Schizosaccharomyces pombe: one gene and its partner. Changing the gene in region 1 together with any one later gene gives a genetic interaction. Each region holds a gene or a part of one and is shown in the gene's direction. Other genes may lie near its edges.

What was found. Genes that interact genetically often act in the same process or in processes that back each other up.
Region 2: mutations in ank1 (region 1) and toe4 together harm fitness less than expected from each alone (positive genetic interaction), as found in Schizosaccharomyces pombe (one large-scale study listed by BioGRID).

Annotation. Positions count from the first base shown.
Region 1 is NC_003424.3:1,743,511-1,747,267, reverse strand, and holds ank1 (ankyrin repeat-containing protein), read left to right. Parts: upstream 1-1,630; 5' UTR 1,631-1,670; coding exon 1,671-1,695; intron 1,696-1,748; coding exon 1,749-2,033; intron 2,034-2,249; exon of another isoform or gene 2,250-2,317; coding exon 2,318-2,520; 3' UTR 2,521-3,249; downstream 3,250-3,757. Other genes in the region: dal81 (transcription factor), read left to right, coding at 1-350.
Region 2 is NC_003424.3:118,427-122,183, reverse strand, and holds the start of toe4 (transcription factor), read left to right. Parts: upstream 1-1,950; 5' UTR 1,951-2,075; coding exon 2,076-3,757. Other genes in the region: SPOM_SPAC11D3.08C (amino-acid permease), read left to right, coding at 1-1,628.

The DNA of each region.
Region 1 (3,757 bases):
TGGTGCAACGTTGTGTTTCTCATTTTCTAGCCATTAACGAATCCCATTTTACTGATTTTTTCTGGCCGTATTCCCAATTCTATTTTTGTATCCTATCATCTGCAATCATTAAGATGTATCTGGACTTTGAGTTTAATGAAAATTTTAATGCTACGACTTTTGGCCTTTTGTCATCTTTCACAAAGCATTGTGTCTGGCTGAAGTTTCGAAATTTTGATTTGGTTTTCATGGCTTATAAGCGATTAAACGCGTTGCTGATTGAATTAAGCTCAGGTAGACCACTTATTGGCAAACTTCTACAAGAAACCTTTGAACATCGAAAGCGTAACTTGGACGAAACCCTGACATAATGATAGTGTTTAGACCTTTCTAATTCTTTTTTTTTTGTTTGGTTTTAAGAGTTGTTAATTGAATACTTATGAGCCTATACCTACCTAATTAAGGATATCTACACATTATTATTTTTTTAGTCAGCTCTAGTTGCTTATATTTTATAAAGTAGTTTAGGATCCTTGTTAATTTGATTAAAGGGCTTCATTAAAAACATCTGATAGAAAAGTTTAAGTGAGTTAGGAATATTCACGAAGGATGGAAAGATAATATTGAAGTGATAACATCCTATCGTTTTATAATGAGATATTGATTGCAACAATAAGGTTTATCAGATCTGAACATATATTTATTTATATTTTAAAGTTTACCAGGTGGAAGCAAAAAAGATCTCCTGAGCCAGAATCGAACTAGCGACCAACCGGTATCATCGAAATTACAGCCGGGTGTGATAACCAACTACACCATCAGGAGTTAGTTGAGAAGTGGTGTCTAATAGAATATATATAATATATGAAAAATTAAATATCTTGTATCTTAAATTAGCCGGAGTAGATTCAAATAATGATGATAATTAGATCCGTACAAGTTTATTAAAAAGATGAATGAAAGTAATAGTAGGCTTGAATTCCATTTTTTAAGAACAAATATGAAAACTCTTGATGTGGATACTAGAAGTCTAAGCAATACAGGTATATAACAATAATCCATATTCTTAAAATGATCATCAGAAAACGCTTATTCTTACATATTTTTACTTCATTACAATTATTTACCAGTTTTTTTCATCTTTTCATACTCTATAGTTTCTTATCAAATATTCCGTATAAATTATTAGAGTTGACTTGTACCAAGATCATCTGTTCAATTGCTTTGTGCATATATTTTACTTATGTTGTTTATTTTTCTTTCAGAGGAAGAAGCCTTTTGGCTGTGTCGAATGCGTAGATATGTTATACAAACGGTTATAATCCGGGATATGAGAACTAAATGTTTGGTCACTATAGGACAGTTTTTCGTTATAAAAGAAATAAATTTAAGTGCTTAAAGTACTAATTTTATTAATTCATTGCTTTATTTAGGTCATATTGCAATCATTGATAAACTCAAAGCAAAGGTTAACATAGGTTCTCAAAATTTTGAAAACCCACTGTTAAATTCATCAATTGCAATACCATTTGGAGAAGTAATGATTAAACAGTTTCTTAGTATATGCTTTGTTTATTCGTAACTGACGAACATTTCCGTCCCCCACGCCCCCCACTTATATATAGAGATCCATTCAGCGGACCGAAGAACTAACATACTTACCAAATACATAATACACTATAGTCACGAGAATGTCAACTGAAGGAGCTAAGCCATGTAAGAGCGCTGCTTGATTTATTGGCTGTATCAAGTTGCTAACGATTTTTTAGCGGAAATGTTAATTGCGGCTTGCCGCTCGAATAATGTTGACATGCTTGAGGAAGTTGTTCACCAACAGGAAGGAGACGGAGTGAGCTTCATCAATAATGCTCGTGATTCACTTGGAAACGATTGTGTTCATGTCTGTACAAAATATGGTTCCCTAGAGTGCCTTGACTGGCTTTTAGATATATCTGGCGTAAATTTGAATAACCGCTGTCGTATGACAGGGGACACACCTTTACACTTTGCCGTTATGTTTATAAAAAAAGATCAGGAAACTGCTTTACGTATGGGTAAGTGAATTTACAAGCCGAAGTGCTAATCATTGCTTTCGTGTTCTTTGTTATTTTCGGAAGTTATGGTCAAAGTCGAGTTGTGTATTTCTACGTTGTTTTACGAATGATTCAACGTATGCAAGATCGCTTATATTATGTAAAATTCAAACAATTCTTTGATATTACTTTCTCATAATTTTGTACTTTGCTTCCGCTTATTTCACAAACATCGATTTTGCTTCGGGATAGTTTATAGTGTTTGCTTTGTTGAGTGTATTTGTCTAACTATTGTTTCATTATAGTGGAGATGCTTATGGAGGTTGGTGCCGATCCGCTTCTTACCAACAACGATGGTTTTCGACCAATTGACCTTGTTCCAGGAGACTTTCACGATGTCTTTGCTTCTGCATTAGAAGGACCTGCGCCTGCTCTTCAATATTCTGCAGATGTCGTTGCTGACGATGACGATGAAGAAGAAGGATCCGGTGAGTCGGATGAAGAATAGTTCCCCTTTAGATATTCTTGATTCGGCTTCCCTGTTGTTCTTCTTCTGTTTGGATTTTGAGAAATACACGTTTTGTAAGAGATGTGGGTTATATTAACGATAAAATATTTGTCATTCTTGGGGATTATTCGATTTCTTTCTCCTTAATTGCGAAAGTTGTAAGTTATGATTTTGGCTGCTTCTCAGTGTATTGAAATTCCATTGGACGCTTTAGCTTTCCTTTCAGCTGCAATCCAGTATTATGTTTGTTGTTTGTTCATTCTTTCATAGACGCTCCAGAGAACGATGTGTTCTACTCCTTAGATACCTAAATGCGGCTTTAAAATTTCACTGCGCAACTTTTGACAACGTCACAGGCCGTAGGCTGTATGTTAACTTTTAGCCCTTTATAACCTCATCCAATGAATATGCTATAGTTTTTTTAAAACGTTAGCATATTCATTCCGATTATGCTGCTTTTCTCGATACTTTATTGAAAAAAATCGAAATCGTTGTTACAAGTAACACTTTCTTTTGGGTGTCGATAAACAAGTCTGTATTAGAAAATTTGGCATTAATTAGGATTTGGAATTTTTTATGGATTTCTGTAATACCTTAATTGCTTGCAGATTTGTGTCGTATTCTAAAGATTACTTTTTCTTGTTTCTTCTGATATGCTGCTAATGTTAATATTTTCAATTTTCTTTTATTTTTTAGAGAAGCAATATAAAATTTATACACGTTTAAATAATTTCGAGTATCTTATATGAAAGTTTTGTGGGGTACTTTTAACAATCGCTCATATTAGAGGAAAGGAACCATGACGGTTCATCAAAAAGTACTGCATTTATTAAAAAATATTCAATAGGTTTCTGCTTTCTATTAGTAAATCCGCTACACTTATAAAATTGGTACCCGAGTTCGCCGTCCCTAAGACGGTGTTTGTCAGTTTTTAAATTTGAAGGTTCCGTTTGTGTCTCACAACTTACATTACCTAAAATAAATTAAACTCATAGCATGTTAATAAGTCTCAATTTTTTATTCGCTAAAAACACGAGGGTATATTGCTGTAAAAACTTACCACTAAGCAACTAGCACCTCGCCATTACTATATGCAATGTGTGTTAGGGTTCATAAAAAATTGCAAACTTAAGTCGATTGAAGTTATCTTAACTCGCATATAATCGAATATAGCAGTAGGTGCATCAATGACTATATTTCAAATATCAATCGGTTTGTTCATATAACAACTAATCCG
Region 2 (3,757 bases), 1.6 Mb from region 1:
TAAAACAAAATCAGAAGCAATGGGAAAATGAAGTTGAGTTGGGCGAAAGCAGAGAAGCTAATCAAGATGATGAGCTTCTGATGAGCCTTGGTTACAAACCAGAATTCACTAGAGAATTCTCTTACGTTAGCATTTTTGGTCAATCGTTTGGATCAATGGGTCTTTGTCCGGCTATGGCGGGTTCACTCATTTTCTCGATGAACTGTGGAGGAGGAGGCATGGTTTGGTCATGGATTATTGGATGTATATGTCTGATTCCAGTAAGTATATCATTGGGCGAACTGGCGTCTTCTATGCCTACTTCTGGAGGTCTTTATTTTTGGATTTTTACCCTAGCATCACCATCGTCAAGAGCATTTCTCTGCTGGGTTTGTGGTTACGTGTCAGTGCTTGGCTACGCTACGATTTATGCTTCAACAGTGTACTCTGCATCATCTATGGTACAGGCACTAGCTGTGATAGGTAGTCCTTCTTATTCACCTACAAAATATGAACAGTACGGAATTTACGCAGCGTTGCTTTTCGTGATTTCTGCCATGACTGCAATTCCCTCTCGTGTTATCGCGAAGGTGAACATCATTAATATTACCTTCCAATTCCTTGTATCCATTATTCTTATTATTGCCCTTGCCGCAGGATCTGACTCTACTACTAGAAATTCTGGAAGTTTTATATTCGGTGATTTTACAAATTATTCTGGATGGTCAAACATGGGATGGGCATTTATACTTTCATTCACTACTCCTGTGTGGGTTGTAAGCGGATTCGAATCTAGCGCCGCTGTTGCTGAAGAATCAACGAATGCTGCCAAAGCAGCTCCCTTTGCTATGATTTCCAGTCTTGGTGTGGCTACCATTCTTGGATGGTGCATCGTTATCACCGTTGTAGCTACTATGGGTCACGATTTTAATGCCATTCTAGGTTCCTCTTTAGGCCAGCCTGTAGCTCAAGTACTGGTTAACAATGTTGGAAATAAGGGAGCTTTAGGAATTTTCTCTTTGCTGGTCATTGCCCTTTGTTTGAACTGCATTTCGTTACTGATTGCTGCATCTAGAGAAGTATTTGCTTTCTGCAGAGACGGCGGGATTCCAGGAAGTAGATACTTACGTCTTTTGACTAAACAGAAAGTTCCCTTAAATGCAATTCTTTTAGTGCTACTCTATAGCCTTTTAGTCGGTCTACTAATTTTGGTTAATGTCACTGCCATTTCTTCTGTGTTTAATTTAGCAATTATTGCTCTTTATATCGCTTATTCCGGCCCTCTTATGTGTCGATTTGTGTACAATAAATTTCAACCTGGTGTTTTCTACGTTGGAAAATGGAGCAAACCAGCAGCCTTATGGTCATTAGTTTGGATGTGGTTTATGATTCTTATGCTTTTGTTTCCTCAATATCAAAAGCCCAACCAAGATGAGATGAATTGGGCTATAGTGGTCCTTGGATTTGTAATGGTCTTTTGCGTGGTGTATTATTATTTGCCAAAGATTGGTGGTAAAACTTTTTTTACAGGTCCAATACCTACTGTTCAACAGGAGAACGAGTACATATCTGGTGTTCCACTAAATGAACTATCTTTAAGCAGTTTACCTTTGCCAAAAGATTTTGACCAGAAGCAAATCACAGAGTAATTTAACCTGAGTGTTATACTTTTCTTAACTCTTCTTTTTGGCAACAGCTACGCTGTTTCATTGTATTTTTACTGTGCTTTTATAATTGTATGTTTATTAACAGTTCTTTTTTATTCTTTTGTTCCTAGTCTTAGTTAAATAGCTTAATATTGTTTTAATGTCTTTTAATGAATTAGTGGCTCTGTTATCATTATCAGTAATATAAGATTATATAAAATTTTTTTTATCTTTCGAGTACGTATACTTATCGTCTTGTCCAGATTTTCTTATCATCACTTCCCTTATAACCTATACTTAAGCACGACTTGAGTAGTGCTAAAATAAATCTGCAGATGTATATGCTTTTTAACAGTAAACTGCACCAAAGGCGGTAATGCTTGCTTACAATTGATACGCATTCAGCTAGAATTTAAGATAGTTGTTTAATTACTCTTTTCTTAACATAAGATGTCTCAAAATAAAGCATGTGATCTTTGCAGGTTGAAGAAGATTAAATGTAGTCGAGGGCAACCAAGATGTCAGACTTGTACTCTTTTTCAAGCGGACTGTCATTATTCTAATCGTGCTCGCCGTAAGAGACTTGTTCAAAGAAGCAAGGAGACGTTTGGGGGAATTACGTTACCCGTGTTTGATTATGCCGCTGGTATTAACGGCAATGAGCCAGAACCGAGTGATCACTCAATTCCAAATCAAGAAAATTTTGCATTAACTACTAATGGAACTATTAGTAAAAACATTGAAAAACCCGAGGATGGTGAAGAATCCGTTCAGAGACGCCTTAAATTGCTTGAAGAAAAAATCGATTTGTTGTTAGATATAGCTACTGAAACTTCAGAATTTAAACGTGAAAATAAGGCTATTGAATTACCTTCCTTGGTTACACAAATTAAAGATGCAGAATCGATTGTTATTAAACACAGACAAGGTAGCCCTGTCGACAATACACCTACTCGGATACTGAATGTGGAAAGCTTGTTCCCTCCACAGTTGCCGGACTGGGAGAAGGCATTCCATGACATTCCCAAGAAGGAAGTAGCCCATGAGTTAGTCACGTCTTACTTTCAGCATGTAAATTGGTGGTGGCCTACCTTCGTATATAATGATTTTATGTATGAGTTCGAACGTCTTTATGCGTTCGGGTTCCATAGCAATAATGCTTGGCTAATTTCTTTTTATTCTATTTTAGCATTAAGCAGCATTAGGAAAAGACTTGGTAACTCAAAGACGCTTGCAGAGTCTTTGTTTTCAACAGCTTGGGTTTTTGTTCAAAAGTCCGACTTTTTTCTTACTCCGAGCATTGACAAAGTTCAGGCTTTAATTGTCATGACACAGTACGCAGCTTACCTGTCTAGCTCTTCTTTATGTCGGACTTTGTGCGGCCAAGCCTGCCTCATGGCCCAACAATTAAACTTACATAGAAAGCAATCCACTGATGTGGAGCCTGAAAAGGCTGAATCGTGGAAAAGGATATTTTGGATGTGTTATATTCTCGATAAAAATATTTCTTTGATTTTTGGAACCCCTTCCGTTTTTAACGACAAGGATATTGATTGTAATTTGCCTGATAGCAAATATGAGCTTTTGTTTGGTGTACAATCTGGTGGTGATTTGATATTTGTTCCTACCGTATCGTTGACAATAATTCAGAGTGAAATACGAAATCGACTATACAGCGTGAAGTCACCTACGCAAATGGCAGCGAGAGAAAAAATCATCATACCAATACATCAAAAATTGAAAGCGTGGGAAGAAAACCTTCCTTCTGAAATAAAAATGTATCATGAAATGTTGCTAAACAACACTTTTTCTCCCACTATATCGCTTAGCGATCGGTTCGAATTTTTAACTTTCGCAGGTATGGAAGTTTACTTTTCTTACTTAAACACTTTAATTATATTACACAGACCTAGCTCGTCGACAGAGAATCGAAGGATTTGTATTAATGCAGCCCGTGAAGCAGTTCAATTGTTAAAAAATAGACTCAACATTGATCTCAGGGTCAATGTTAAAGCAGATCCGCTATGGATATTCCTATACTGTCCTTTTACACCTTTTTTAATAATATTTAATAACCTTGTTCACGAAACTGATACGGAAACGGACTCAGAAACATTACTTAACGATTTGGA